Linked DNA regions of Drosophila melanogaster. The protein of the gene in region 1 interacts with the protein of each later gene in a pairwise test. Each region holds a gene or a part of one and is shown in the gene's direction. Other genes may lie near its edges.

Region 1 (12,495 bases):
TTTTTCGGCACAGCCAGCGCATGTGTCGCAGTGGACACTCATGACACTGCTGCTATTGTTGCCTTCCAATCGTTTTTACCTTCCTGTACTTTTGTTTAGTAACTGTGGCTGAGAGCTATTGGGGCACAAGTGAAGCGGCTAAAAAGCAGAAAGCAAATATAGAGCAATTGTCGGGTTTAGATACGGACACGGAGAGCATTTAATGTATCACGGTTAATAGGTTGGGCAGATTGGTAGAAATATTTTATTATATGAAATGCTTGGGCTATACAATGTGCATAGCCCGTTTCCTAAACAGTGACCGGAAATAGTAACAAATGGTTGCAAAGAACTCAGCTCAATAGCAGCTCAAGATAATAACATTATTTGCACAGACAAGTATCATTTCATTCGGAGTGCTCTATCCTTTCGAATCACAGTGTGAATCGATTGGACTGAATTTCACAAGGACAAATCCATCCTGCAAATACGTTAGCCGAAATTATTCGCCGTATAGAGTTGTATCTGCGAAACGGCTGCGTGCATTCATGATGTGTATTTAATTTTATTCTGTTTTGGTTAATTGCGCCACACAGAACGCTTTAAATGGGCGGAGGAGTGGTCGGTGTGCATGGGCATGGAGTGACATTTTTATGTACAAGTGAGTATTTATATAAAGCAAGGACGGCGCAACGGGGCGAAGGGTGGGGCCTTTCAGTCAGCTAAAACGAAGGTGCAAGCACGTACAAAAGATCGCCGGCATACACACAGCAACCAACAGCGGAGCCTAAGTCAATAGAACTGATTTATAATCAGCGGAATTGAACGGAAATTGATACACTTTTTATCAGTTTAACAAGTGCGCAAACAAGTTATAATACTACTTTTAAAAATTGCCCAGTCTGATAAATAAACAGTAATCACGTTTAGTTTCACAAGTTGTGGATATTACAAAAAAAAAAAATGCATTTTTGTAGTTTTAATAAAAGAATAAATAAATAGGAACTAAAGAAAGGACCACAAACCACAAAATGCTAATTTCGGGCGCTTTTTAAATGTGTGCTTCACGGTCTTGGCCATAGCTGTATTTGGATGGCCATGTGCATGCACATGAGCTTCATTTCGGTGCGCTTTTACATACATACATATGTGGAACAATCTTTGTGTGCACACACATATATTCCGAAAATAAAACATTGCAACTTTCAGTTCGAAATTGGCCACGCAAAGAGGTTCTTTCTTTCTTTCCTACCTACAGCTCCACAATTTGTCTTGTGTGACCGACCATACGATTTTACACAGTATATTTTACATATTCACTTTGCTGCGCAGCTTTCTTTCAATGGGAACGAGACTGAATTGGCTGGGAAGAAATTCGGACCCGCTCGACCCAATTAAAATGTACATCATTTAGTGCGTAAATATACGCACTACGTGTCGCTATTTATTGAGATTACTGCCCTAATTAAAACCCGCCGACAATTGTTAACTTTTAACAGAAATCAGATTACAACTATGGACATTCATCCAATGTACCTGTTTCACATTTTCCAAAAACGGACGGACTCCCCGTAATGCCTACAAATTTTATTGTTTTTTATTTGTTGTCTTATTCCTCAAATTTAAACGCCGCACGTTTCAAACTTATCGATCAACGAAAATTGCCACTTTTACCAGTAATTAAGTACTAAGAACTATCTTGCCAATAAACTCTGATTGTGCCTATCTACTGAATTGAAAACTATAGTTTTAAATATGGGCTTAGAAGGGTCTTAAGATTCCCCTTTTTTTTTTGATACGAGGTCAGTTTTCTAGGAAAGCTGGATCAATTAATGGCAAAATTCTGGATGGATTGTTACTTCGACTTACCATGACATTAGGACGACTGTGACAACGGCTGCCGCTATGCAGTGGAACGTGGATCTTGACGGACGGGGCAGGACTTGGAACATTTTGTATGGGAGTAGCACCAAGATAGCACTTTGGAATCGCTTTTGTGGGTTGTGATTTCGATTTTCAGCTCCCGCGGTTGGCGGACTGATTTCCTTTCCGCTCCGCGATTTTAGGCGACTTCCGGTTCCCTTTCGCTGTCAAGTTTCGCTTGTTGTACGACACAATTACTTTACCGTTATGCCAGGTTCTGGGTCAGCTGTGCGCATGGGCAGAGTAACTGTTTTCGGTTTGCTCTCTTTGCTTTCGTCCTTCCCCTCTTTTATACCATCACTATGATTGCTCTTTGTTGAAAATCCGCGACTACTGCGTAGAAAATAAAATAACAATATTTATATGTAACTGTTGCATGAGCATTATTTCGGATACATGGCAATTTACCAAAATGTTTTTGTCATGTTTTTCTGGCTTTTGAGGCCCTGTCTCACTCACACAAGCGCACTTGTTTTCACAAACGTATACCGATTAAGAACAAAAAAAAACTCCGTAGTTCAGCATGGAAAAGGTGTCATTGGAACTGCGACTTTTCCACCAGTGATTAACCATTTAATTCGAAATACTTATTTCATCAACTTATTCCCTTGTTTTTCATAATTTATTGTCGCCGCCGTTGCTGTTGTTGTTGCTGTTTGCTGCTTGGCTTACCGGCTGTGTGCGAGTGAGACAGCAATGCAGCGTGGGAGAGGACGAAAGCAAGCATGTGGAAGAGAAACAGAGAGCGAAGCGCGTGGAAAAGTTGTAATAATAATAATAAGAACGGAGCCAAACACTAACGCCCAACTGAGCAGCAACAACAGCAACTACAGCCATACAAAACGTAAAAAACACCAAGTTGTTTGGCCTTCGATGTCTTTTTCAATTGCGTCGCAGAATGAAACACAAAAAAAAAAACAATACAGAAACACCACACTCAGCGTGTGTATGCATATGTACACATATATGTGCGAAACTTTGCGCTTTTTGTTTTTGTTTTCCTTACACTTTTACCGTATTTTTATAAAGGAAAGGGGCTAGGAATAAAGTTAGGGGTAAAAATTACTTGTATTCTACTTAAAAAACAAAGCTGATACTGTTGAAAAAAAATTGCACTCCCATCTCACGCACACACACACGACTGCATCTACAATGCAACTTTAAAGAGAGAAATCTGGAGCAATATAAACCGCAAATAGTTCATATTTGAAGTACAAACTCAGTTTTGCGGACGTTCTTTGCAAAAACGGTTTTAGATCGTTTTGTAACTAGATAACACACACACATAACATATGCAAACAGAAGTTACGAACACAACATATCGACAAGCTGTAATAGAACTCGCATACTTTTCGCTATAGCTGGTGACTTTCGAAAATATTATGTTGACTCCCGAATTCCAGGCAAATTCGATCGCGCCAGAGCAACAATCAGCGCAAAAAAACACATCCAGTGAATGTGACCGCGCGCACGGCGAAGGAAAATACCATCCGGCGCAAATCAAATACCAAAATGTACCACACCAGTTTCGATAACCACCTAGTAAACTGTTGAATTCGGCCAGCTGTTTCAAATTAGTTTGTTAAGAACCAATAAAAGTTAAGTTTTCGCAGACAATGTTTCTTTAATTTTGACAAGATTTTGAAGCATACGAAATATACAATATAAGTTCCTGAACACTAATTTAATCCACCGTTTTCTTTACTATAATTCTGGAAGGACTGAAAACTTGTTCCTCTGCTAATCTGTGGAGTCCTCAAATTTTCTCTAAAAACGCTACTTCCAAAAGTCCGGTTATCGATATCTGACGTCAGGGCTGCATGGACTTCGTGTGAGTTTTGAATTGCCGTTTGAAAATAAATGTTTTCCCCAGCATTAAAGCAGCATTTCTCATTGGCTCTTGATGGTAGCTGCGATCCACGGTAGAAACATTGAATACAAAACTCTCAACGATTCGGGATATCATTTGATTGATGTAATGAACTCTTCAGAGGTTTCCTAATTTTTGGCGGGAAGTCGAGGGCTCCCTAGTGCCATCGTCATCTCTAATGGCAACTAAAACATAGCAGACATTTAATGAACTTTCACAAAACACCTAGATTCAGCTGACCTCTGAGAAGGCTTCCTGACATTTCGACGTCCCAACAAAAATTCCCAGTAGCAAAACACCAATGGATGCGACGTGGTGAGTGGGTCTTGGGATTTTATGAATCCCGGTTGCTTACGGGCTTCTAATTACTGATTTTGCTCAATCTAATGCTTCTCCAATTAAGCAGGGCAATGGAGCAGCTGCTGTCTGCAGTTGAGATGGGAGGTAGCCACAGCGAGGCCACCACACCAACGGCCACGACCACCATATCGATCTGGAGCGCCCCCTCCGAGGGCAGTGGCTCTAGTTCCATGGACCCTGTCTCCTTTCGGTTCCACTTGGACGGGCAGCCTATACTGCCACCGCTGGTGATTTAAATTCTTGGTCAGGGAGTGGCATTTACTGAGGCGTAACCATTTTACTTTGTTCCAGATGACGAGCGCCAAGAAGCGCGAGGTGCAGCTGGCCCGCCAGATGGCAGAAGCGCTGGAGAAGCGGTACCGCCTGGCCAGACACTCGGCGGGATCCGACATGGCCAGTAGGAGAAGTGTGTCACAGCTGCAGCAGACAGAAACGTTAATCTATGACAGCACACGGGGCCAGGCTCGTCCTCAGACTCTGGTCTTTGGCAAACAGTTGCCCACCATACAGGTGGATCCTCCCACGCCTCAACCATTTGTGAAATCAATAGAAAACACTTCCCCAAGGCGGCATAATCGCATTACCGATCGTATCCTGCAGTTCGAGCAGTCGGGACTGGGTAAGCTGCTGCCCAAAGTTCCAGATAAGTGTATCCTGCGCACAAGTCCTGCGGTAGCCGAAGACCAGCAGGATCAGGATACAAAGGACACAACGGCAAGGGAGCTCGGCAGTCCACTGGCAGAACCAGCTAATTTTCAGCGTTCGAGAAGTTTCACACTAGAGGAGCCCTCCCAGGTTCTCGTGGAGCACATGGAGAGGGAGGCCCTGGCTGTGAAACCCAGCCAGAGTTTGGCCAACTTCGAGAAGCAGACCATCGAGTCTCAGGCCAAGCGGGTGAACCGTAGTGCAAGGAGTATTAGCAGCAAAATTAGCCACAACAGCTACAATAGCAACAGTAGCGCCGCAACCAAGAGCACCATCGCCACTAAAACCACAACCGCCGGCAGCAGCTGTTCTAGGCGGGATCGCGAGGTGGAGCGTATAATAGAACGGGCGCTGGACGAGCATGGCGCTTTGGAAGCCAGCCGCAAGGCAGGAGTGCGCAACTATCTGCGTGGCCATCGGGAGCGAATGAATCAATTGGTCATTCACCAGGAGAAGGAACGTCGTCGCATGCAGGCCGAGTTTGATCATCAGCAGCGTCAGCTCATAGAGGAACTGTGTGCCGAAATTGATGTTTCCTCGGCCACCGAAAATCCTGACAGTCTGATATCGCAAAGCACCAGTACGGGAGACCTGCAGCGTTTTTCCCCCTCGCCTACGTTACCCTCCTTTTCAGAGGACATAGAAGACTTTCCGACGATGGAAGACAAGTGCCAAATTGCGGGGCCTTCTTCCGCTCGCAAGAGGCTGTTTAGTCCAAAACCATCAAAGGACTCGGAACCGCAGCTGCTCAGTGCCCCCAGCACACCGCGATCGTTGCCCCTCCGGAACAGCAGCTTAACCAATAGCAGACGAAGTGTCCAAGTTGTCCGGCGCCGATCGCAATCTGTGGGCGGTAGTCTAGTAAAAACAATCACCGCAGCAGACCGCGAGGTGAAGAAATCGCCAGCGAAGCCTGGAGGTGGAGCAGGACGACCGAAAAGTTCCCCGGGAAAAAATAGCTCCATTATAGCGAAAAGGGGAAGCGCCCCACCAAAAAGCGCCTCACCGACCAAGCGGCTGGGCAATGTAAGTTTTTCAAGCGAATCTGAGCGATATTTTATTTGCTTTAAGTCACAAAGGTTTTCATTTGTGCCAACCTAAGTTAGCAGCTAATTTGGTTGGACTCTTACTTTAAATCTCTGCTATTTGACCTTTCCTTTTATTTAACTAAAGCATTAACGATTTTTTATTTATGGTCCTCTATTTTTATACCCGTTACTCTTAGAGTAAAAGGGTATACTAGATTCGTTGAATAGTATGCTACAGGCAGAATGAATCGTTTCCGACCATATAAAGTATATATATTCTTGATCAGGATCTATAGCCGAGTCGGTCCGGCCATATCCGTCTGTTCGTATGAACGTCAAAATCTCAGGAACTATAAAAGCTTGAATATATGTTGGATATTTTTCACAATTTTATTAGACATGTACATTTCTATTGACATTTTTAATTAATTTTTAAATTTTTTCTCATTTTATTCCCAATTTTGTATCGATATCCCAGAAAAATTATGATGAAATTTCTAGTTTGCATATCCACTAGCTGAGTAACGGGTATCTGATAGCATTCTTTTTTGCTTTATATTGATATTGATATTGATATTCTTAGCATAATCACTTAATATAATAATTAGGTATTTTATCCCTAAAAAAGTGAAAACCTTGGCGATATAATCTGTAATATCTATTTCCTGTACTCCCATTCTATTATTTCCTCTTCCCCAACACAAACAGCGCAAGAAGCCCTAGCAATTCGGGTAGTCAGTTATGCAAGTGCCTTAACAAAGACTGCGAGGAAATCGAGGGACCAAGCCTCTAGCACCAGTAGCTAACCTAATTACTAACCCAACTAGCAAGTGCCTTCGTTCCCTGTTTAATTTCGCCTCTAATCCCTGCCAGAAATATGTCGAGCTGAAACAGGAAGAGCGCCAGTGGGCGGCCACACGTATTAATGCCGGTGTGCGAGGATTTTTGGTCCGCCGGCTTTTTGCAACCGAGCAAGTGCAGCGCATTGTCCAAACCATCAGAGACACCCTGATCTTCGTGTTGAACCTGCACCTGGAAACTTGTGGACATGGCCTGGATGCAGAGGAGCCTGCAAACTTGCGCCTCAAGGCGCGATTGCTTCAACAGGTGGGTTACTTGGTTACTTGTCTAGGTGTAAAAGGTGCCAAATGTGTACATTAGGCTTGGATGATAAAACTAGAAATTAATTATTATCTGAGTGAAGGGTATGCGATAGTCAAAAAACTCGACTGCAGTGTTACCTACTGTGCTTACATTGACTTTGGTTTAACTTTGAGTAAGCAAAACCAAAACTACTGGTATTTTAGAATAATTAATGCGATTTTATATAAATATTTGATTTGAAATTGCCTTGTTTGCAAACTTAATACAAGCTGACTACTTTTTCCTTTATATTCATTGAATTAACTCATAGCTCTGCTCCGCCAGTCGTACCCTGCACCTGATCTTCTTCCAGACCAACATAAAGGACCGCATGGAGATCATCGCTCGGGATCGCCAGAGGATCAAGACCAAACTACTCCTCAAACATCGCCGATTGGATTAGGATTTCATAGGTTAGATTGCTCGAATAAAGGAGGAAACGATAAACGAAGCATTCTTGTTTTAACTAAACACATTTTTATTAAGTTTAAGTTTTCTGGTTCCACTTTCTCTCTATACATTTTTACATTTTTGTACCCTTTTTGTACTCTACGAGTAAATGGGTATACTATATTCGTTGAAAAGTATGTAACAGATAGAAGAAAGCGTTTCCCATTATAAAAAGTATATATATTCTTGATCAGGATCGCTAGACGAGTCGATCTGGCCACGTCCGTCTGTCATTACGTCCGTATGAACGTCAGGATCTCAGAAACTATACAGGCTAGAATGTTCAGATTTATCATGCAGCTTCCAGAGACATAGACGCGATTTGCCAAAAAACTCTGCCACGCCCACTCTAACGCCTAAAAACAGCCAAAAGCTGTCAAGCCCACACTTTTGAAAAATGTTTTGTTTTTTCTACGTTTTTTTGCTTGTTTTGCCCATTTCTATCGATATATAATAAAAAAAAACTCCCAAAACGGCGTTTGGCCCACAGCGCCCACAACTCGAACCATTTACATATATATTTTTTCTCATTTTATTTCCCAACTTTGCGTTGGCATATTCATTAGCTGAGTAACGGGTATCTGATAGCCGACTATAGCAATCTCTCTTGTTATTATTTAATTTGTATTATGGAATATATATATTTGAGCTGAAATGGAAGAAAATATGTATATGTTAATACTTAAATATTAAGTATATTTTTAAATATTAAATATTAAAAAAATATTAAAATAATATAAAATTTAATGGGTAGATTCGGTAGTATCCTTAACTACATACACAAATTAATTCTTACGATTAATAAGCAATTCTAACAAACAAATATACATACTAGTCGCAATATTGAACTGAAATACATTTATATACTTATTTTTGGTTATATCTCTCTATTATCTTTTTAATACCTTTTAATACCTTTTCTTTCTTGATTTACAGAACAGCTGTTTGGCAAAAGCCCGCGTGATTTTTTGCAGCCAAGCTTTCAAGACATTGCGGAGCTTTCTAGACAAATTCGCCCTGAAAGCTGCGGCGGATTGCCAAAACAAACGGAACTTTTAAAGCGAGTAGTCGTGTGTGCGTGTGATGGCCTTAAAAGAAAACAGCAAAGGCAGACAAATAATCAAAAGCGAGAGAAAACTAGTTTAATAACAATTAATTATTAGTGAGCACGTAACCCACAGCAATTGGCCGACCTCCCGCTCATCCTGTTATTCACCCAGCTGCCCGCGTGCCTTGCCCACCCAATTCCATAATTCCGCCGGCGGCGAATTTAGAACGACACACCAAATTGAAAAAATAATAATACAAATAATAAAACCACACCAATAACAGATTTCGTAACTCGTAAATCGAAGGACAGTGAGAGAAAAAATCGTTAACAAAAATATAAGCGCACACTTATATTTTTAACACGCGGCAAAGTTGCGTGCGTGGGGGTGAGAGTGAAAAATGTAAAAACAGAATACGAAAAACGTTTCCCAGTGTTGTTGTTTGCTCCTTGTTTTGTTTGGATAACTCGCACTAACACCAACACAAAGGATTACCATGTCCTACACCGAGTTGGAATCAGGGTACCAGGATATATCCCAGCAGCATCAGCAGCAAAATCCGCATCAAAGTCAGCCGCAGCAGCGGGTCGGTTTCTACTTGGGATTACAGGATGGCAACGTATGCGCTCCACCGTTTTACCACTAAAATCTAGCGTAACCCACTAAAACACATAATTTTTTTTATTTGCATACTATATGTGCTATACATGCACGTATTTATTTTTAAAACAAGTCAAATCGATTTTTATTTAATTTTAAATAGTGTTTTATAAGAATGTGAAATATAAAATTATGAGCATTGAAAAAGTATTTAAACCTGGTGTTATAATCTAGCTGACTTCGACTGTAGATTTTTACATGCGGAGAGCTGACCCTGACTTTTTGCGGCTTTTTGCAGTGGAGCTTTTTCTCTTCCTCCGCCTCCTACTAAATTCTTCTCATTCCTTTGCTTCTTCCCAACAGCTGACTGTTCAATGTCAATGCCAAAAGCTTTTGCTCTCGGCTCTTTTACTCGTTTTCTAATGTGTGTTTGTGTGTGTGGTTTTGGAATAAACATAATTTACATCCCTTGAGCACCCTTCCAGCGAAGAGATAACCAAACAACAGTCCAAAGAGTAATGAGCAACAGCATCGATAAATTCGTGGCAGGGAGAGTGGCGTTTTGGCGGACGTCGCTGGCTGACGCACGTAAGCTTCACTCCAAATGTGGGCGGTGCGTTGCGGTCTACACTCGAAAAAATAATATAAACAAAACTGCCCCCAAACTGTTTAAAAATAACTAGGAATATTACAAAATCTTTGAGAGAGGAAATTTAAAAACAAGCAACTGGGAAATAAAATAACAAATGTCTTAGAATATTATGAATTTGATAAAATAATGAATAATAATAATAAAAATCGAATTTTTGAAATTTGAAAGCTGGAGAGTTGGTCTGCCCACCGATAAAGTTTTTTTTGCCCACGTCCAGTTTTCGAGATCTGAATTTTCAAAAAGTTCGAAAATTGAAAATGAAAATTTTTTTAAGTCGCAATTAGATAGTTGGCGTTGTGAATAGCCACCACAACGATGAAAAAAGTAAACATTTTTTTTTATAATATTTAGTTATAAGAGATGGGCAAACGCTTTATTTTCTGAGTAGACCGAGATTAACCTGAATGTCTTATATTTTCTAACGTATACATTTTTCAAAATTCTAAAGGATGGGCAAACGGGTTATTGCAATTAAAAAAAATTATGAAAAAAGTAAACTTTTTGATTTTCGAAAATTGTCGAACTTTTACTACAAATTCAGATGTCGAAAACTGGACTGGGCAAACATGGACAAACGATTCCAGCTTTCAAGTTTCAAAAATTCGATTTTTTCGACGCCAGCTTCTTTGAGCTCAAATCCTAAAGAGCAGAATTAGATTTACAAACATAAATCGGAATGTAGTGTAATTTTCTCTCAGTGCACTGTTTATTTTTGTGCGTAGATCCCACATTTACTATCTGTTATCCCTTTTCTCCCGCCCATCCGCTGCTCTTCTTACCGCCCGCGAAAATCCAGAGACAGACGTCAGCGAGTTGGAGCCGCGCTCCTCATCGTTTTCCCATCCGGTGATTCGTCGGTTTTGCACTTGTTTTCATTTCTTTAATGTTGCGCTATTTTGCTCGCTAGGTAACTGGTTTTAAACAATCTACATTTTTTGGTTACCGTTACGCTTTGATTGTTTAAGCAATTGGTGGGCGCGCTGTGTTCTAATTACGTTTTCGGTTTCTTGGCTGCATTAATTAATTACCCGGTTATGCCATTTGTTTGCTTAATTTGTTTGCTTTTGGCTTCCGACTACGTCTGGAATCTCGAGTAGCTCCGACGAGGGACCACTTGCATTCTCAGATTCGTAGACCAGGTTCGACTTTCAAGCGGAGTGGTTTTAGAACGGTTAGTTTTCGATGGTTTCGATGGTATCGAACCATTTTGTTTAGATAAACTGTATGTATTATACATACATATGTATATGTAAGTGCTCGTTTGCTTGTATAAAGTAAAGTTTTCGTCAAAGTTGGAGATTTAAAGAGAATCTTTGGGACTGTTCTTGGGCGAAACTTAATTTATCCATTTCATATTTTTGGGTGGCTATATGAGAAATATAAAAACGTAGTGAAATAGTACTGGAATAGTGATATATCAAAAAGTGAATTGTACATCCAATTTTAAGAGTTAAGAATTATGCCCTAGAACTCTTAAAATTGGATGTTCGTCAATGTTTAAATCGATGCTCAGTACGTCTGGCAATCGGGGAAACGCTGAAAGTTCAATTAATCAGAAAAACCGATATGTAAATAGTAGCTGTCTTATATCGGGTGTTTGAAAACACTAAAATTTTGTATTTAATTGAATGTTATTTATTTATTAGGAAGAAATATTGCTCGATATTGCCTTTAATGTCTTATATTTTCTAAATAATAACTTTTTTTTAATTCAAAGGGATGGGCAAACGTAAGCAAAGGATGTTATTACAATTTAAAAAAAATTTTTGAAAAAAGACACTTTTTGATTTTCGAAATTTTTCGAACTTTTTCGAAATTTCAGATCTCGAAAACTAAACGAAGGCAAAAAAAAACTTATCGGTGGGCAAACATGGGCAAACGATTCCAGCTTTCAAATTTCAAATTTTTTTTTCCCCAAACTCATTTCTTTTTTAAGCTACTAATATAGACTTTTTTAAATAATAAAAACGAGTTTTAGAGTTTCATTACAAACAATATAAAGTGTTCGGGGCTTGCTAGTCTACAAGTGTAGGTAAAACCGAATAAAATCGTAAAAGATATACCAATTTTATTAATTGAGGGCTTAATAGTGAACCCGTCTTATAGACCTCCCTTTCTTTTTTTGTCTGATCTTTATATCTTTGTATGTATATCATCTAATTTTCATCTTTAAGTTCGGGGAAACAGAGATCTCAGAGGAAAGATACGTGAAGGTCATAATTGATGGGGAACATCGCTTGAATGGCGCCTGCTAGTGGTCGCCAGCGACGGGTTCTATACATAGAGAAAATATTTACTTTGGAGCTTGGATTTCTAAGGCAGATGTGTGTTTTACGAGCCGTAGCGCCCTTATCACTGGAAGTCTTATCTGCTCCACCGACCGCAGTTACCGGTTACCGATTACCGATTTTCGTCGCTGCTCTTTGTGTAGCTCTCGTTGTCTTTGTTGTCGCTTTCATTAACACTGGCCGATCGGCCGGACGTATACGCTATATAAGTTGAAGTTAAGTTTAACAAATGAGAGCGACGATGATAACATGTCGAAGCAATTATACACAGAGAACGCCTTTTCGTCGTTCTCCCGCTCTAGGTATCTTCATGCACTGAAAATTTTAAATTAATAATTACCTTTGGGGCTTTGTAAAACTTCTAATTAAATAACTGCATCTGTTGCAATGCGAACTTTAGCATGTATAATTCACATTTGTAATATGTGTGACTGCAATTTAACTGTGT
Region 2 (9,940 bases), on another chromosome or scaffold:
AAGTTGCAATGGTAGCATAAGCACTTCCGACAGCGAAGGTGCCTGCGGAGGCGTTGATCCTACCAATGGCCATAAGTAAACTAGTGAACGGTATCTTATATCCTAAAGTGTTTAACATCCGATTATCAGACGTACTTTTGTTATCGCAAAACCCCAAAAGTTTGGGATAACTTAAGTATTACTGGGTGGGTATAATACGGTATTTGCGAATTGAAAATTTTGACCTTTTATGAAAGAGGCATTAATAATAAGAAACCCTTTATAATTTCTCCTAAGCTTAAGTAAACTACGATGTTACTTTCCGTACATTTTTAATTTATATGAAAATCTTAATTCATATATATTTTTTGGATGCGAAAAAAAAAATAACTAATGGAACAATTTCAAATGTTTGTGTTTTATTTTGAACTTAGCGGGCAGCAAGAACGGTATTGGAAATAGTGCGTGGAAAGTAAATGTGTGCTATTTCTCTCTTTTCAAATTGGGCGCGAAATTTCGAAATTGGAATTGAAACATGCTAAATAAGCTTATTTGTTTCCGAATTTATGGAAAAATCGCTTTTCAAGATATCCATACCAATTGTTATGATTTTGTTCACACATAAACTATTGGAATACTTTGAAAACAATTGTTGCTTCTATTTTTAACGACAGTTCCATCAATACTTTTTGGCAACTGATACCTTATTAAAAAACTGACTGTTTTTTCTAAATTCTTACAAATATATTAAGGGATTATGTATAATCCCTTTTCTGCCAAGAACTATATTTTTAAAGAGCACCACAGAGTGGACTTCAGTGTAATTTTCTGCTTGTTGACGCAATTAGTTGAGATAGGCAGAGAATTAATCAAACGCTGGTACTCGAGAATAATAATGGACGCTAGCCCATGCGAATTGAGATTCGTATGCGGGATGCGGATTCAGATACCGGCTGGCGTTGTCAGACATCGTCAGGCCCGTGCCCAACAAAAATAGCCAGGGCATACATTTGGGCTTGCGGCCGCGATGAGAAGCGATGGCTAGCGGCCAATTGAATCGAGGCGGACCGCAAGACTCCCAACCAAGAACAATGCGCATTCTTCATTGTTCGTTCAATTGAGCAACGTGCTCTGGCTAATTTTGCACTCGAAATAAGAGAAACGCAGCTAACATGATTCAGTCGGGGGTCCACAAAAAGAAGCCAAGGATTCGGAATCGCCAGCGCAACAAGATCAACCAGGTGCCACAGGATCAAGGGGAATCTCCAGACGCAATTGCGTCTTCACTCAAAAGTAATGGCTCAAAAGCGGCAAATGGTGTAGAAAGTAAACCTCCGGTGGAAAAGCCCTTACTTACAAGTGGAAATTCTCTGCTTGAATCATTATCAAAAATTGGTCAAGTGGAAAATCCGCAAGAGAACGATACAATCCGGCTGATACAGCAACTGTTACGTAGGAAATTATTGGCCAAAAATAGTGCTGTGCCATCCAGCGAAAATAAGCCATCAACTGATCCGGTCAAAATAGTTACCCAACCAAAGGAAATCAAAAGTGAAGAAAAGAAACCAAAGATTTCGAGTACCTCGGTTACTCCAAAACTCAAAACAGAAGCCAAGGCATCTGGAATTTCAAAAGAAGAGGAAATAAATGATCTACTCAAATGCTTGGGCAGCAAACTGCCAAAGGGTAATTAGATAATCATTAGGAAGTATATACAATTCAACATAACTAAAATATGCTTGATAGGATCTGGTGAATCCCCAGCAGCCGCGTTATTCAGCAATCTTGGAAAGCTTTTCAGCCAAGCGCCGCCCAGCGATGTCGAGTCATCCGATGAGGAAGTGGAGGAGTATGTGGAGTACATCTATAAGCCAAGGCAATATTTTATGGCCTCACTGTGCAATGTAGGTAGTATTCATTACAAACTGTGCTTAATTGCTGAAGGGACTATAGTTTAAAACTTCTACATTTGTATACCCTACACTCCTAAAGGAAAAGGGCATAATAGATTCGTTGAAAAGTATGTAACAGGTAAAATGGTTTCTTGCCAGTTTCTATCGATATGCTCATTAATGGTGGCATTCCCGCTAGATGAGTAATGGGTATCTGATAGTCGAGGAAGTTGGCTATAGCGTACTCTCCTATTTCTATATACAAATGTAAAGGGCGCATTAATAAGATTTTTTTACAATTTTATTTTACTAAGCCTTTTATAATACTTGCAGTTCTGCAAGTCGGATCTGTGCGGCCAGAATCGGATACCCTGCTCCCGCTGTGGACTGAGCTACTACTGCAGCAGTGGGCACATGAAAGACGACCAGGAGCACCGCCAGCTGTGCTACGCCCTGCGCCAGACGGTGGACCGCAATGGTGAGTGTCTTTCGGCGATTCACAAATTCATAAATCACACTAATTGCCAATTTTGGATGGGGCGGATGCAGGTCACGAGATGTTCTACAAGTGCGGCGACTTCAGTGACGAACAGTTCCGTTCCTTCCGGATCGTGTGCATTCGCCAGGTGGAGAAGGAGATGAATCGTCAGCTCAGCGCAACGGAGAGAGAGTTGCTCCTATTTCCACTGATCTGCGCCGACTCAAAGTGCCGGGAGCATCGCTTTAAACGTCTATCCATGTGCGGTGGATGTGGCGAGGTGGCTTTCTGCAAGGATAAGCCGGAGCACCGAGGCAAGGAGCACGCCAAGTGGTGTGGAGCCTATCAGATTTTCAAGGCCTTCATCATGTTTCAGGAACAGTTCGGCCGCATGGAGCCATCACTGCCCAGTAAGATTCTTAGAGAGCTGCCCATGGCTTGCTCCAACACCAAGCAGATGATGAAGAAGCTAAGCTTTAGTAAGTAAACACGAAGTATTCAAGGATTTTATTATAATGTATTATTATACTGATTTAAAGATGTTACCAATGAGTGTGAGTACGCAGCACTTACCCAGGTGTCCACTGGCCCATTAACTGCCTGGTTTGCCTTGAAACTTTGCGAGCGCCTCAGAAACTGCGAGGAGATGACTCTTCACTTAATTGGAGCCGAGATCGAATTTGAGGCGGATATGCTGCAGAAATGGGAACTCTTCCTGCTCCACATAACGCCAGCGGTGAAAACTCTGAATGTGGTCTTTGTTGGACCTGAACTTAATCCTAATAATATATCCTTTGAACAGCTAAAGAAAATCAAGTGAGTTACACTTTTAGTTAGTAGTTTAAACATTAGTCTAAAGATTATCAATCTATTTAGATGCTGCCGTTTCTGCAGAAAAGCCCAGAGAACGGTTAACTATCATTTTGAGAATAGTTTATATCACGATTACTGCAGAGAATCGCACTTTCTTCAGCCGAATTTGAGTAAGTTAACACTCATTTAAGCGAAACTAATAATAATTATTATACATAAATTCATAGTTTGCTTCTTTAACTGCGGTCTGTACCGATCAACTGGTTTCGCTCTGGAGGATACTTGGCCAGATACCATTCAAGCTGCACTCAATCTCAACTGCCCCATCGTAGTTACTTCCTATACAAAATACGAGGCCCCTTTGGATATGATTCAATTTATTAACCAATCGAATCGACACTTAAATGTCGTAATGCCGCCAACTGTAAATCCGTTTTCCTCGGAAAAGCCAGAACGTAATTTTATATCAGATAATGAAGCGTCTTTTATGTTTAAGAACTTTTACTGTTTTGTTGTTGATTAATCGCAGTCCACACCTTAGTTTTTTTTTAATAAAAAGACAAATATCGAACAATTCTGATTTGGACAAGGTCAATTATTTAGTAAAGCCTGGTACAATTCTAAAAGTTTAAAAAATTTGTATTATAATTTGGTTTTTTAGACATAGCCATAGACACATGAACAATAATAAAATTATTATATTGAAATATTCGGTAACTTCTTTTCGGTTGCAGTACATACCTGGTAAAATCTATGAATTTTCATAAAAAATATAAAATTTTGTTCAGCTTTTATATTTTATTTTGAATGTAACGTTTTTTCTGGGCAATCGATGTTATTTTTCATACTGATTTCGATACATTTGCGTTCGATAATAAAATACTAAAACAAATTTTCGATTGATTTCCTTGCTGAGGTGTGATGGTCACTTTCGATAACCGATATATTTAAGGAAATATCGGTTGAAGTCCGGTTTTGTTTTGATTTGATTGAATAGCATTGTTTTCATTGCGCATTTTCTGAAATTTAGGGCATTTAGGAGAAAACTTGTGATTTTTTTGCTGTTATTAGTGTTTTCCCATGAATATCAACGATGGTGACTTTAAAGACCTCCGCTGCAAACTGGACATCATGGGTTTCACACAGACGCTGCCCGTTTTGGCCATTCCACTGGTTCAGGTAATATTCATACCCTGTAATATTAATTTTTTGGCATAATCCTGTACCTTTTACATTGCAGGCTGTTTTCGGGGACCTAATCAAGACCACAGAATGTTTGAGGGATACCAAGAAAAAGGTGGCCGAGCTGCTGGAGGTGGGTATACCAGTAGAGAGTACAAGACCTTTGGGTTTTCTCGATTATATATGTGTAACTATAATATTATCACAATTTCTTACTGAAGAGATTCAGGTTGGTGCTGTTAAGATAAAAAAGAATTTGTCAATCTAAATATGATTATAATTGTGAGGATCCCATGAGAAACTTCTTTTCAGTATTCTTATTCTATATACGCCAAATATGCTTCATTTTTAAGGGCAGACTATACAATTCAATTGAATCCCTAAAATTAAGCGTGAAATACTTGCAAGGATATTTACACGTTAGCTTTTTAAGCCCACGTTCTTTCTTATATGTTGTGGTTTTTCAATTGGTTGCTAAGCAATCCTTCTGTTGTGGCTTTCCTTTCGGCAGGAAAAGACCTGTTGGGAGCTGGGCGTCGAACCCTACAAGTGTGACAACTCTCGCCTGCTGGCCGAGTGCAATGAACTGCATCTCCAGTTTTTGAGGGACAGGGAGGACTACGAGCTGCGCCTGTGTGGTATGTTGTAATCGATTTTAATTTGATTTTTAACTCTATTGCTGCCTTAAACTTTTTCAGAGTCCGAGCGAAAGATCCGAAATCTGGAGTTGGACAAGCAGCATTTGCAGAGTCACAACGATGGACTTCAAAGGCAACTGGACGCTTTGCTTACCAAGCAAATGGTTTCATCAGTCACGAACAAAAAGGCGACAGCTGGCATTGGACGTCAGAGTAGGTCTAAGAAAGATATTTAACTAGAATTGGATCTCCCTGAGATACTATCTCTATCTGATTCACGTTGGTTTTATTAAAATGTTCTGCTTTCCAGCCAAAAAACCCTTTATAACCACAGTGCGTTCGGGCATTGCGATGCCAACTACACTGGGCACTAGCAGCAGTGCTCTTAAATGCACAAAATGCAATGCTGGGGTATTCCAGAAGACCACCACAACGACCAAAGACGGTGTGACAGTGACGCAAACCAGTGGACAGGAGGAGTTAGACAAGATGCAGAATGATCTTACGGCAGCCGGAGAACAACTGGAGTTCTTCAAGCGCAAAGTGGAGGCCAGAAATCGGGAGATTCGCCGCTTAAACGACATGCTAGCAGGAGGGCGTCCTTTAGCGGCTTTGGCCAAGGATTGCTGTTACAAGGACGTGGGCGCCCTCTCCCAGGACATCGATCTGTTGCAACGCGAGAAGAGCGATTTAATGATGCAAGTTCGAGAATTCCAGGACAAGATGCACGATGCTATGCAGCGGGCTCTAAGCTCCGAAGAGGATAAAATAAAGCTCCAAACGCAGCTGGAGGAGCTCAAGGAAGCTGCGTTGCAAGTGGAACAGCAGGCCAATGCGGAAATCGATGCCAAGGAATCGGAACTTAGGCAACTGCAGTTGGAGCTTAAGAAGAAGGGAAAGGATCACCGACTGACCGGTGGCTTTGCTTCCAATCAAAGTGACAAGCATAATCTTAATGAACGCTTAAATCTTTTGACTCGTCGTGAAGAGGAACTACAGGCCACAAATGAAAAGCATAAGAAGAAAATTCAGAAAATGCAAGCAAAGATATTAGAACTGCAGAAGGAGCTCAAAGATCAGAATAAACATTCCAACGTCACCCTGGATGAAGAGAAAATACGCCTGTCATCAGAGCGGGACTTCTTCCAGAAGGAGTATCTGCGTCTGATGAGCAAGACCGGATCCGAGTCGGAGATCGCCTTCTTGCATGCCCAAATTAAATCTAAGGACGAGGAGTTAAAGGCCCTGCGATCTGAACTGTTTCATGGAGGAAAGCAGCAATTTTCCCCACAAAAAAGTGTGCAGTATGAGACACTGCCGCCCCCCACAGCTTCATCCATTACCTCCACCGTTACTAGCAATACGAGTGACTGCGTCCAGGCGGCCATTGCAAGGGTGGAGCGGGAACGGGATTGCGCCAGGACCGAGCTAGAAAGGGTTCGTTGCGAGCGGGATACGCTGAGGGAGAAGCAACTGAGCACTGTTCAACTTCATGCCGATGAGCTACAGGCTCTGCGCCTGCGAAACGAAGAGCTTAACGATCGCCTGCGGCAAATGGAACGCGATAATCGGGAACTTAACTCGGCTCGTCTGCCAACTGAAACGAATCTGGTGCTGCTTAAGGAGGACTTGTTGCAAATGAGGCAGCGTGTGGCATCTATGCAAACCGAAATTGACCAACTAAAGACCGAAAATGATCAAATAACGTTAGTAACAATGGAATTGCTGCTAAGCTTTCATATCGTTTATAAATTTGTTATTTATTTATTGGCAGCATGCTCAACGATCAAAACGAGCGCATCATAGCGGATTATCAGAGTAAACTTTTGGTGGCCGAGCGTCAACGACAGTCGGCGGATGTTCGGGCCAGCACCTTGGACTCCAGTCGGGAATCCAATCGCAGCGAGGTTACCCAACTCCGCATGGACTTAGGAGCTCTGCGGCAGACCTATATATCGTTAGAACACGAGAAGGATACGCTTCTGGTAACTTCATTTAATAATATATTTTCTAGAGATATTAACAATATTGTTATTTGCTTCACTAGCATCAATTGGATACCAAAACTGAGCGGGTATACAAACTGGAGTATGAGCTAAAGGATTGCAAAGAAAAACGGAATGCCCTAGAGCAGAATGTGAAGGACCTGGAGGATCAATTGCGGTAAGTGTGAGAATTGTTTAGTTTGTGCTTCAGAACCCGATACCAAAGAGTTTCAGAATAATTGACCTATTTACAACTCAATTTTTCTGCTAAAATGAAAAATATGTTATATTTCATTTCTAGACTCTATATTGTTAGTCTTTCAAATTCTTTTATTTCCCTTATCGTGATTTTCCTTAAATACAACTCGTACATTAGTCGATGTAATACATTAATGGCACTGTCTCATCCTATCGAACACGTTAACCGAATATTTCTAAAAACCACCTAAAAGAGAACAAAATGGTTAATTGAATAACAAATGATCGCATCGATCAATAAACACTGAGCATGCAAACACAAAAACAAAGGGTAATGGAGGTAATATAGGGTAAATTAGGTGGGCATGCGGTGAAAGAAGAATAAAAGTCATCACAACCGGACAGAAAATAGCTTGAAGATTGGGGATTTTAGGTGGTCCCACCAAGGTGCAGATCATTGAGAAACTTCGAGTTGAGTCGCTCGTTGGTTAAATACCTCGCCAGGCTGACACTTGGAGCGCTGCAGTTGCTCATGCCGCGTTGATCCGACTCCGAGGGCGTATAACCCGGTCGGCAGACGCACTTGGCCCGACTGGCGTGGACCAAAATTGAGGTGCCATTCGTGGTTTGCGATTTCAGTGGCTCTAGCCACTGACCCGCGCCGCAGGGTCCTCGGCTATACAGCTTGTGGCACTGCCCATTGATCTCCACCATTCCGGGCGTGGACTCGCATATATTCTGTTCCTTATCCGCTCCATCTCCCGTGCACTGCTGATCCAGATTGGTGAGGACACCGGAACAACCGCACATTCCATTGTAGGAGATGCCATCGATGGATGGCCTGGCGGTGAAGTCGAAGATCACCACCTGATGTAGGGCACACGGGCCTTGAGATCCAATCCTGTAGCAAGAATCTTCCGCTGGGAAGTACAGGCGATTCTTGCCACAGAAGTTGCGCACACAGCTGGTTCCGTTGACCAGGAACTCATTGGGTCCACAGGGACCCCTTGTGTACAGGCGATAGCAGATGCCATCGCTCCAGGGCACATAGCCCTCCTTGCACTGGCACTGGGCACGAGGCAAAAGCTGCAGGGTGCTGCCCGTTGTCTCCTGGACCTCGTCGGGTATGCGAAAGATGTGACCAGGTGGACAGGGGCCAGGAGTGTCTGAAAAATAGGAGAACATTAAATACGATATAGGAGAAAATTATGTTGAGATAGAATTTCAACATTTCCAAGGCGGTAATTGCAAATTAACGGGCTATGTAATCCCAATCCTACCCAGCTCATAGCACATTTGATGCGGAGCATGATAGTGCGGCAAGTGCCGCTGGCAGTCGCATCGACCGCCGGGCAAGAAGATGTGACCCGGCGTCGAGCAGGGTCCTTTGGTGTAGTGCTCATAGCAAGACTCCTCTGCCGGATAGTAGAACGAGGCCAAGTCGCCCACATCCTCGCAACGGCACTCGGCCAGTCCCTCCTCGTTGCGAACGAGGAGTTTACCCCGGCTGCATGGACCCTTTGCATGCCTCGCATAGCACTTGTTGTCCCTCGGCCAGAAGAGCATGTCCTCCGGGCAATGCAGCGGTCGCTTGCACGTACCCCAACGGTTGCCGGTTGCGGTTCTGGAAAGGATTTGCCTATAGTTTAGTTAACTTTTAAACATTTAATTGATATATACGGCACACATCATCCTATATCAATGATCGCCTTGAAGTGAGAAAGTCTGATAGATAATTGTTGATATCACATGAACTGTTAAGATTACTTCATTTTATTTTGAGAAGACATTAGACTTAAACAAAATTACCTGCGCTAGAAACACACACATCGGAAACAATGTCGGCTGATACTTTCGTAATGGACACCAAGGATGAATCGTTCTACGAGTGTAACATATGTCTAGACACCGCCCAGAATGCCGTGGTCAGCATGTGTGGCCATTTGTTTTGCTGGCCATGTCTGTACCAATGGATATTGACGAAACCCGATCACACAGTGTGTCCCGTTTGCAAGTCGGGCGTGGATAGGAGCAAAGTAATACCGGTGTACGCACGAAATGATAAAAGGCAGGAGGATCCGCGGGATAAAACACCGCCGCGTCCAACTGGAATTTGGTCGGATTACGCAAATGATCTCGAGTTGGGACTATTTTCGTACTTGCTTTTTGGTTTATTCTTTCCATATGGTGCCCTATCATCTTATCTGGATATGGACGAGCCACTCAATCCTGCTGCTGATCACGGCATAAGGGATGGGCAGAACGAAACACTCCTTTCTAAGTTCTTTCTCTACGTGGCCATTATGCTCATTATTTATATGATTGTAATTTAGCAAGAATAGGAATAAGATCAAAATAAACCATGATGGTGCAAATGAATCAGTATAACCGGGAAGATGTCGTCCTTTACAAATTATGTTCAGTGAAGTTTTCGGATAATTAGTCATTAATCTTTTTAGTATTGTGTAGCATTATGTAAAACAAATGTAATGAAAAGTAAATATTCAAATGCACTAGGAAACAAAACTGCATTTCATGTTTTAAACACGACAGGTTGTGTCGTAAAAGTAAAAACTGTATGTGAATGTACATACATAGGTTCTTGATGAACTTTCGTTATGCATAAAAACGAGATATCAAAGTAGAATGCTTCCGTTATTGCTTAAGTGCACCAGAACTTTCTCTTAACTCTTGATTAATGTTGAAACCCGAGTTTCGCAATCGAAATCAAAAGTTTCATACGACTAGAGAACAACCTGTAAACCTTCAGTGAAG
Region 3 (10,152 bases), about 15 Mb from region 1:
TTTTTTTTTACAACATTACGATTTACCCAATCATAGGTATATTAATATTGTTAAACAAATAAACGCAGAACAAACACTATCTTCGAATTCCAACATAAGCCATTATATGGGCAAATCGGAATCGGAAAGAGATGGAAACAGGAAATCGTGAGCCGATATATGTAGCTATCTCTTGCGATTTGCTGCAGTTCCCGCCAAAACAATAATGGATTCGTTTAAATTCTGATCTAGACATATATTCTATACGTAAGTTAAATAAATGTAAAACAAGTAGAATGTGTGTATATAAGATATTTTAACGTTTTTAGGGCAGTCGAGCAATTTCCAGTTGTAACATGTACGTGGCTAGCAACTCATCCGCGTTACGATTTCTACCTGCTGGCGGTGCCACTTGGGATGGGGCTTCCTCCGCCAGCTGCCGGCACGCTTGGAGCTACATTGGAAGTCGGAAGGGTATTAGTCGAGCCCGCTTCTTCGTATCGCGTTAGCTTTGCCTCCTGATCGGCCAGCAGTTCGAGCAAATCTTCTTGATCCTTTTGCATCGCCGCCAGGGAATCTTGCGCCGCATCTGCACTCTGTTTTTCGGCTGATAACTGCTGACGTAGTGTCTCCAGCTCCTTAGTTAGACGAATGTTTTCGGCAAAGTACATGTTGGCCTGGTAGCGAGCGGCATTTAGCTCCTCCTCGTTGGGCGGCGTGGCTTCCGCACCTTGGGCGGACTGCACCTGACCGGTCGAGGCTCCCAGCTGTGCCTTAAGCAGCGTGTTCTGGTCCAAGAGCTGCGCCTTGAGCGACTGCTCCTCACCAAGTTTCTCCTTCAGCTCGGCATTCTCCTGTTCCAGTTCTTTGGAGGATTGCTGCAGTGCTTGGATCTGGGCATCCATGCCGCGGATAATCCCCTTGTACTGGGAAACCAATGCAGAAGCTTCCGAGCTCAACGTGAGTTCGGTCAGTTCAATGCCATCTACATCAAATCCGCTAACCAGCTTGGCAATCAACGCCTCCAGTCCCTTGTACAGCTTGCAATACTCGAAGTCAAGCAGTAGTTCCCCAGCGGATTTGGCACGGATCTGGGCCTGCTTGCATGCCCGACTGTAGGCCTCATGTCGCGACACTTCTGCTAGTTTGCTACAGAAGCTCTCCTGGCCAATTCGCTTGATGATCAGCTGACTGATGTCCTCGCGCTTCTGCCCCGGCAGCGAGTTGTCATTGAACTGGATGCACAGGCCCATTAGGAATGCGCACATGCCCTGGACAAGGAACTCTCGTTCATCGTGCTCGTTGGAGCAAAGTTGAGCGGTCAGGTAGGCCATGGTGCCCTGCGTTTCCAGCAAAGCCTTCACCGCACCTGGACAATGCGCCAGCCACAGGCTGAGTAGCATTAGCAGACCCACCTTGCTTTGCAAACGGTAGCGTTCCTGCTGCATGAGATTAGTGCACTGCTCGAGTAGCGTGATAGGCTTTTGGCCACCAGGAGTGGCCAGCAGTACGCGCAGTAGTTCCTCCTTTAGGGCGACATTCTCTACGAGTGAGTGCATTAGGGCCACAGCGGAGAACCAGTTGGCAAGCGCATCTGTGGAGAAGAGTCCGGTGCAAAGGAGTTGTCCCGTCGAAAGGGCACTCACATCGGACGCACTGGAGGGCAGCAGGGTCTGTACAACCGCCCGCTGGCCATCGGCATTGCGATAAAGAAAGCACTCGAAACAGTAGAGTACGGCGCAACGCAGTGCCAGCAGTTGTTTCTCATTGATCATGGACATAAGAAGGACCACGATGGCAGGTCTGGGTGGACTGCTCGGAGCCATAACTCTTCCCAATTCATCCTGGTTGTCCCGATCGCCGCGCACCACTTCGGCCACTGCATTGATGGTTTCCGTGAGTATATCCGCAGGGACACCACTGCTCATCAGAATCTCGCAAAGAGCATGGAGCAGTCGAGACTTTTGCATGACCCGCTGGCAGGCGGCCACCACCTGCTGTTGATTACTGGGCGTGACCAGTGCCCGCACCACCTGCAGCAGACAATGGAAGTTTGAGACCTTCTGTGGCGACCAGCCAACCTCTTCCGCATCCTGTGAGAGCTCAAACATTGGCGACAATCGCTGGATATAGCTGCCCTCCTTAAAGAACTGCTGATTACTGGAGTTGTTCTTGAGAAGATTCAATAGCAGAATTAGGCAATCCTCCACAACAATTCCGCCATCCGAACAGCCCTCCTCACGGACAATTTCAAAAAGGCGGTCAAAGGCATTCTCAAAGGCCACAATCTTTTGGATGTTTGAGTTGCCCTTGGTCAGTTCGATAAGCAGCAGAAGGACATCGTTGCGAATCACTTCGCGGCTGTCCGTCAGCAGATCCATCAGCTTGGAAACGCCCATCGGACTGACCAGAATCAAATCCTGCAGCTCCCGCGTCTTGTTCGAAATGAGGGACGTAATCAGTTGGATGGCAGCGCGACGCACTCGAAAATCGTATTCGTCCAGATAGCCCATTACCAGGGTTACATGCTCCGGTGTCTTGATGAACATCTCCGTGAACTGCTCGCCCACATTCACCGAAACGGTGGGATTATCAGCCTCCTCGTCGAACTCCTCGCTAGTAACCACGTTGCACAGTGTGTCCAGCGCATAGCTGATGATCTCTGCATCCTGTCCGTCGTTCTGGAGCACCTGGACCAGCGGAGGCATGCCCTGTGCGCCCACCTCGATGCGGTACTTGCGGGACAGGGCTTTTAGCGCTCGGCAGGCATCCCGTCGATCCTCCAGGAGCGTTGAGGAGTAGACACGGTCCACCAGCTTCTCCACCGTCTCGGCGGCACTCGGCTGCTGACCCGGCTCCGTGCTGCCCAGCACCGTTTTGATGCCACTCTTCAGGAACTCCATGCGAGTGTGTGTTTACGGTCTATTCTGGGTTTTTTCGCATTCAACAAGACACGTCAATTCATGAAAACAATTGACGGGCGGCTTAGCGATGGCTAAAGTCCGATAGACGCCCACTTATCGATAAGCGGCTTGTCTTTAAATATATTAAATATATTTTTAGAATTACAATTTACCATATTTGACCATGTTTGTGTAATTACCTATATTTACACTTTTTTGATAATCTAAAACTTTTTTTTGAATTACATAAAATATTGCTACTTTCTAGCTGACGTCGGGACTTAAGCTGAGTGGCATCCCTGTCGGCGATAGTCTTACTGCCAAAATTTTATTAAACTAAAAACGACTCGACAGCCCTGGTGCTATCGATGCTATAAGTAAGTTGAAAACAAAACTAATTTAGCAAATTTGTGTTTAAAACTAAACGAGAGAATCCCAAAAAATACAATATAAAGCGTTCCACACACGCGGCGTAAGAAGTTCTCAAAAATATCAACACAGTTATCACGACGCTGGGAGAAATCACTCGTTTTTATTACGTAATGCGGCAAAATGTCAACCCATAACATAACAATCCCCACATCAATTTGTGTAAATCATATGTAAATCTCGCCATCTCCTGTGCTTGTCTTGCAGACCTATGGGCAGTGGGATTGTGGTTCAATTGGCTCGAAAGTACGGCGCAGTGATATTCTTTCCCACTGTTGCAGTCGGATCGATTTACGCAGATTGGTCGCACACCCGCCAGTGGAAACGCCAGCAGCTCCAGTTGGCACACCGAGCCCAGCTGAAGGATCAGCGCTAAGAGGATACACAAATATACACCATGGTCTTGGGACTGGATAAGCGAGCACTGTGGGGCGCGTTGCCCCTGCTGGGATTTGCCATTGGCCACTTCCTGGACAAGAAGGAAACGGAACGTATGACCATGTTCCGGGACAAGAGTGCCCTATACGGCCGTCCCGCCGGCAGCGAGGGTAAGGCGCCATCCTGGTAGGCCTGCCCAACATCGCCATCCCAAAATATTATTTTTTTTCCCCCAATTCACTGTTATTCAATAAACCGGAGAAATGTGAAATACGCCTGTCGTCTAGTTTACCTGCATGGCCAGCGGACGAGATTTGCGGTCGGGAACGTGATTTATTTGTGAAGGATTGCGTACCATTGTTTGTTTTACTCAGGAAAAACATAAAAACCTCAACACACGTCTAACGATAAGCCGAAAACCAATGAAAAATCCAAGGAGATAACTCGTTTTTCGAAGGATTTTACCTGGGCATCGCTGCACGATATGCGAGTTCTGCTTAGTTCGGATCAGGGGCGTAGGCTGGATATTTTAGAAGAGCATTGGTGTATTCTACCAAAACTCTTATTATTTATTGTAGAACTTCTTGAGCATGTCACATAAATCACTTGAAATGTGGTAACCGAGAGTAGTCTTTTTAAATGAGTTTCGTTAAATGGCATTGAATTATCTAATACATGTGAATCGAGATTTTTAAGAATTAATAGAAAAAAAAAACTTTTATAAGCATGAGCCCCCTAAAAACTTTCATTTGCACGACCATGCCTATATGTACTATGTAACTGCTTCCAGTAAAAACCGTTAGACAGAATGGATAATCGCTCACTTCAAATATGAAATATGAAATCCGATAAGGACATTTCCACTTTAACAAACAAGGCAGCAAATTGAAATGCCAATGGAACAAAACTAATTTATTTTTATGGCTCAGGGCTAGGGGTTTGTACTCGGTTTTGGATTCCGGTTTAAGATCGGTTTTGGGCTCGAGTTCCAAAATTGAGCGTGATGAATCGCTGGAATTGTGTTCTTGGGCGTGCTGCCCCTCTCTAGACCATTGTTTCCAATGGTCAGTAGTTTGTACACAGGCGCAGTGGGATCAAATGGAACGGATTTTCCAGATTTTCGCCTTTCAAGGGCTTTCTCTCTCTCACAGCGGGGGAGAGCGTGAGCGAGAGGGTGAGATGCCAGAGATTTGCAAGTGGATACCGTTGAACTGTGGTTGGGAGCGAGAGGGTAATAGCACGATCTTTGTTCCTGGAAGGAAACGAGAGATCCAGACGTGCAACAATAACATAACAGTGCTGGTGTCTCTCGGCGGGAAAATAGCCAAATTGGGCATTAGCATGCAGGTGCGAAAGGGTTTTATGGAGAGGTTATTTATATGAAGGTCAGGTTGAAATGACTGCTATCAATTTTAATCGGTAGTTGTCTTGTATATTGGTTTTTAAATAGTTTTGTATTTTAATCCATATTACAATTTCTTAATTTAATGATGAAATAGCTATTTGTTTATGTATGTAATTATATCATTAGATTGCATATTTGCAAAATGTATTTTGTAAAAATTACAAATCTAGCTTGTTTTTAGAATATTCATTCTTCCGCCCTATTTAGCGGGGTAGCGGCACTACTTAAACCTCTCTCTCGCGCACTTGTTGTTGCTCTCTCTCCCGTTCTTGCAGGTAGCAATGAGAATTCCAGAAATCCTGCATCCCAAAAACCAGTCTCAAATCGTGTTTGGGTTTTGTAGCAAGCGGATCATTTGTAATCGGCGGCGGAATACCCAAAATACCCAAAGAGTAAAAAAAAGACTTAAGGCAAAATGAGCGGAGAGGAATCTGCCGGCATGGACTTTTCGCAAAAGACCCTGCAGGATTACGAGGTTTTGGCCGTGATGGGGAATGGATCCTTCGGCACCTGCTACAAGGTGCGCGACAAAAGCACCGGTGAATTGTTCGCCTGGAAGGGAATGAACTACGATGAACTGGACGAGGCCAAGTGCGACGCTTTGGTTTCGGAAATCAGTGTTCTGCGGCAGCTCCAGCATCCTAACATTGTGCAATACTACCATCATCTGGTGAACCGAGAGGCCAAGTCGGTGTACATTGTTATGGAGTGCTGTGCCGGCGGCGATCTCGCCCAGATTGTCCAGCGAGCGAGATCCCAGAGGCAGCGGTTTGAGGAGCCCTACATCTGGCGGGTGCTCTTCCAACTTTGCCGGGCGCTTCAGGTGTGCCACAACAAAATCCCCAACGGAACCATCTTGCATCGCGATATCAAGCCAGCAAATATTTTCCTGGATGCGGCCGGGAATGCCAAACTGGGAGATTTCGGTCTGGCCAGAATGCTGCGACGAGATCAGAGCTTTGCCGCCTCCTTTGTGGGCACTCCGCACTACATGAGTCCGGAGTTGGTGAAGGGCAGGAAATACGATCGGAAGAGCGATGTCTGGGCCGTTGGTTGTTTGGTATACGAGATGTGTGCCCTAAGACCGCCGTTTCGCGGCAGAGCCTTTGACCAGTTGTCCGAGAAGATCGCCCAGGGTGAGTTCAGTCGGATTCCGGCAATCTATAGTACTGATCTGCAGGAGATCATCGCCTTCATGCTGGCAGTGGATCATGAACAGCGTCCTGGCATCGAGGTTATCATTCGGCATCCTCTGGTGGTGCGTAATATTAGCGAGTTGGATGGCAAGTTCCCAATTCTAGTTGATTCTGGAGAGGATTTCTACACACTGCCTTCGGGTGCCAGGCTTTTCGAGGACGAAGAGGAAGATGGAGTTCATCCAGAGCTATCGAGCACCATGTTTACGGAACAGTACAGCTTCAATGAAGGCTATGGGCAAAGGAGACTCAGCGTTACTGGTGTGTTTACTCCAGATTTGCGAAGTGAACTCTTCTACTCCGCCAAGCGCAAAATCTTTCCTGCCAAGAAACTACAGCTGTCGGATCCCTCTCTTTATGAAAGTATAAGGAGAGAGGAGCGAGCGGAGGAGAGGCAGGTGGAACTGGCGGAAGAGCGGCGCCGTAAAAAGGATCAGGAGCAGCAGAAAAGGGATCAGGAGCTTCTAAAGGAGGCCCCTAGCAGTCCTCGTGCTCTTACCCAAAACATATTCGATGAAGTACTAAAGACCCGTCTCCACGCCATTCGTGCCCAAGAATCCCTGTTGCAGCAGAAGCTCGAAGAGCTGCAGACCCGGGAGCAGGAGTTACAGCTGGCCGAACAGCGCGTGCAAACGCTGGAGCGGCAGATGCAGGAAAAACTTCTTCAGCAGGAGAAACACACTTGTAGTTGCAGACAGCCGATAGCTCCGCCCATTCCTCCTAGGAAGCCAGCGAAATCGCACCATGATGACACCTACTGCACTATCGAACTCAACGAGACGTCGCCCACGGTGGCTAAACTCAATTTAGCCACACTTCCGGCACCAAAATCGCTAAATACTCTGCGTAAGGTTACCTTCAAGTCGCCCCAAAAGTTTGTTACCTATGGTATCGAGAATATGCCCCCACCGGCGGTTAAACCGGCAGTGAATCCTCCGCCCACTGGCGTTCCCATGCAAATGAGCGTATCCAGCAATGATTCCGGTGACAGCCAGGCCTCCTCCACCCGCAGGAAATCTATACTCTCGCTTTTCGGGTTGAGTCGCGGATCCAAGGCGACATCCAAATCCTTGCCATCGGTCAACCAGGTAGCCCAAGCAGCTGCAACTCGCGTGCAGCGACCTCCTTTGGCCGTCAAGCCACCGATCACGCAGGAACAGCCGGCAGAAGTTCCACCAGTGGCCAATCTCTGGACAAAGGAGCAGAAGAAACAAGCCTTCGAGCTGCTGGCGGCCATGAATGCAGCCGAGAGGGAGGCAAGCGGAGGTGGAGTCGTTGGTTCTGGACCCGGAGGAGCACGTCGCCAGCATCTGCGGCAATCGGTGAGGGAACGGAATTCCACGCTGCAGCGGAACCGCATGCGGAGGTCTTTGGTGGTGGCCACTGGCCATCAGAAGCTAACAACGCGCGACCAGATGGTGATCTGATCAAATTGATCAGGAAAGATGTGCAGTCCAGGAGCCATGGCAACCATGGAGACTATGAGCGTTGTGATGTGGAATAAGTTCCGAAATATTTACATTTTTTTTATGCAAAAATTTTTTTGAATGCCATATTTTAAACACGTATTATTAGCATTAAGATTCCAGTTTTTTCAGCTGCCATTCATTGTGCAATTTGCATTAGTCTTAAAATAAATATTGATGAAATGAGATACATTTGTGTTTAAAATTTCAATTTTCGTGTTTTTATTTATTGTTGTTCGCTTGTAACCGTTAAGTTCAATTTACGCATTTTCAGTGCTGGGTATTGTAAAAAGAATATATAAACTTAGCATTGCATCTTTACAGCGTAGTTTTCAAGCAATATACTTAAAACAGCAAAAATTAAAAATTACATTTAAAGAATGCTAACTAATAGAAAATTACCAGTCGCTTTAATCTTATTTAACAGTTGCCAACACTTTTACCGCGCCAGCTGTTGCCTATCGATAGACCGATTACCGGTTTGTTACGCAAGCAACAGGTCTGGCGTGATTTCTGATTGGATTCTTGCCATTTACCTGTGTGATTGCTGTGCTAGTTAATACAAATTAATTAAATTCCAAGATGTCCGCCCGACTGCTGCAGGCCACGCGTCGCTGGAGCGCCCATCGCAACTACAGCTCCAAAATCGCCGAAGTTGTGGTGGTTTCGGCAGCCCGCACACCAATTGGCAGCTTCCAAAGTCAATTGGCCCCACTGACGGCTACCCAATTGGGAGCCCGTGCCATCGAGGCGGCCATCGAAAAGGCCGGAATTGCGAAGACCGATGTCCAGGAGGTGATTATGGGCAATGTGGTATCTGCTGGTCTGGGACAGGCCCCCGCCCGTCAGGCTGCCATCTTCGCCGGACTGCCCACCAATGTATGCTGCACCACGGTGAACAAGGTGTGCTCGTCGGGCATGAAGGCCGTTATGCTGGGCGCCCAATCCCTGATGCTCGGCTATGCTGATGTGGTCGTTGCCGGCGGTATGGAGTCCATGTCGAATGTTCCCTACTATCTGAAGAGGGGAGCCACGCCCTATGGCGGCGTCAATCTCACCGACGGCATTGTTTTCGATGGCCTCTGGGATGTGTACAACAAGTTCCACATGGGCAACTGTGCCGAAAATACGGCCAAAAAACTGGAGATCACACGTCAGCAGCAGGATGACTTTGCCATTGAATCATACAAGAGATCGGCTGCCGCGTGGGCCAACAAGGTGTTCCAGGACGAGATTGCCCCGGTGAAGATTCAGCAGAAGAGGAAGCCGGAGATCGTCATCTCAGAGGATGAGGAGTACAAGCGGGTGAATTTTGACAAGTTTGGACAGTTGGCCACCGTTTTCCAAAGGGAAAATGGCACTGTGACAGCCGGAAATGCATCCACCTTGAATGATGGCGGTGCCGCCGTGGTTTTGATGAGTGCCGAGGCAGCCCAGAAGGCGGGCATTAAGCCGCTGGCCAGGATTGTGGCCTTCCAGGATGCGGAGACCGATCCCATTGACTTCCCCATTGCCCCAGCTCTGGCCATTCCCAAATTACTGAAGCGTGCCGGCGTTCGCAAGGAAGACGTGGCCATGTGGGAGGTCAATGAGGCCTTCTCCCTGGTCGTTTTGGCCAATATCAAGAAACTGGATGTGGATCCAGCCAAGGTTAATGTTCATGGAGGTGCCGTGTCAATTGGCCATCCAATCGGCATGTCCGGAGCCCGTCTGGTGGCCCATCTTTCGCACAGCCTGAAGAAGGGCGAGCTGGGATGCGCCTCCATTTGCAATGGCGGCGGTGGAGCCTCCTCCATTCTCATCGAGAAGCTGTAAAGGTCACCTGGCGGACCTGCTCTCAACCAGAAATGCATTTACTACTGATCCATCGAGATTATTGTGGAAAGCTCTATGTTTTTTTTTAAATTGTTAAGTGTCTTGATTGCGCGTGGCCGCATTTAACGAACTATTGTGATTTGCATAATAAAATTATGAAACAGTCAATAATTATTATATGTATATCAAATCAGTGTTCTTCCATGACGGTAATAGGGTTCAAAGTCTAAACATCTTATATTTGTTCTGTGAAAAAAATGAATTAAGTGCTGAAAATGTTCTTTATTGTTGAATTTATATATATATATATATATGCCTATAAATTCACCATTTAATATATACCTAAAAAAATGATAATTTCGGCATTTAAGGATATTATACCCGTTACTCGTAAAGTAAAAGCATTAGCATTCTCTCTTGTTTTCATAATTTATTTAGTAATAATAAGTAAAATATTTTGTTCAGAGCCCTGCTCGTCTGGAGGCCAGAAGTTCGCATATGAAGACGACCAGCGACAGGAGATATAGTCCTGCGGTCAGGATGTAGACCGCCCACAGATCCGGCTGTCGGATGCGCTTCTC

What was found.
Region 2: the proteins of Cp110 (region 1) and Cep135 interact in a two-hybrid assay, tested with the Drosophila melanogaster proteins (one study listed by BioGRID).
Region 3: the proteins of Cp110 (region 1) and Nek2 interact in a two-hybrid assay, tested with the Drosophila melanogaster proteins (one study listed by BioGRID).

The regions. Positions count from the first base shown.
Region 1 is NC_004354.4:22,478,664-22,491,158, forward strand, and holds Cp110 (centriolar coiled coil protein 110kDa), read left to right. Parts: upstream 1-3,731; 5' UTR 3,732-3,877; exon of another isoform or gene 3,878-4,001; 5' UTR 4,002-4,073; coding exon 4,074-4,087; intron 4,088-4,175; coding exon of another isoform or gene 4,176-4,178; coding exon 4,179-4,359; intron 4,360-4,423; coding exon 4,424-5,863; intron 5,864-6,573; coding exon of another isoform or gene 6,574-6,588; exon of another isoform or gene 6,589-6,738; coding exon 6,739-6,972; exon of another isoform or gene 6,973-7,083; intron 7,084-7,279; coding exon 7,280-7,411; 3' UTR 7,412-7,421; exon of another isoform or gene 7,422-7,457; intron 7,458-8,394; 3' UTR 8,395-8,795; downstream 8,796-12,495. Other genes in the region: CG12576 (uncharacterized protein), read right to left, coding at 1,849-1,931; l(1)G0196 (lethal (1) G0196), read left to right, coding at 9,004-9,126.
Region 2 is NT_037436.4:15,112,619-15,122,558, forward strand, and holds the start of Cep135 (centrosomal protein 135kDa), read left to right. Parts: upstream 1-4,118; 5' UTR 4,119-4,242; coding exon 4,243-4,341; intron 4,342-4,402; coding exon 4,403-4,477; intron 4,478-4,855; coding exon 4,856-4,982; intron 4,983-5,042; coding exon 5,043-5,195; intron 5,196-5,292; coding exon 5,293-6,688; intron 6,689-6,756; coding exon 6,757-6,967; intron 6,968-7,029; coding exon 7,030-7,145; intron 7,146-7,259; exon of another isoform or gene 7,260-7,387; coding exon of another isoform or gene 7,388-7,412; exon of another isoform or gene 7,413-7,594; coding exon of another isoform or gene 7,595-8,331; intron 8,332-8,445; coding exon of another isoform or gene 8,446-8,789; intron 8,790-8,953; exon of another isoform or gene 8,954-9,003; coding exon of another isoform or gene 9,004-9,498; exon of another isoform or gene 9,499-9,683; intron 9,684-9,940. Other genes in the region: Ctps (CTP synthase), read left to right, coding at 1-79; CG13458 (uncharacterized protein), read left to right, coding at 1,152-1,665, 1,726-1,883, 2,205-2,349, 2,421-2,828, 2,889-3,165, 3,226-3,332, 3,390-3,685; CG16959 (uncharacterized protein), read right to left, coding at 7,595-8,331, 8,446-8,789; CG32847 (uncharacterized protein), read left to right, coding at 9,004-9,498.
Region 3 is NC_004354.4:7,886,857-7,897,008, reverse strand, and holds Nek2 (Nek2), read left to right. Parts: upstream 1-5,362; 5' UTR 5,363-5,509; coding exon 5,510-7,717; 3' UTR 7,718-7,943; downstream 7,944-10,152. Other genes in the region: p115, read right to left, coding at 372-2,882; CG45089 (uncharacterized protein), read left to right, coding at 3,523-3,687; ND-MNLL (NADH dehydrogenase (ubiquinone) MNLL subunit), read left to right, coding at 3,709-3,879; Acat1 (Acetyl-CoA acetyltransferase 1), read left to right, coding at 8,339-9,571.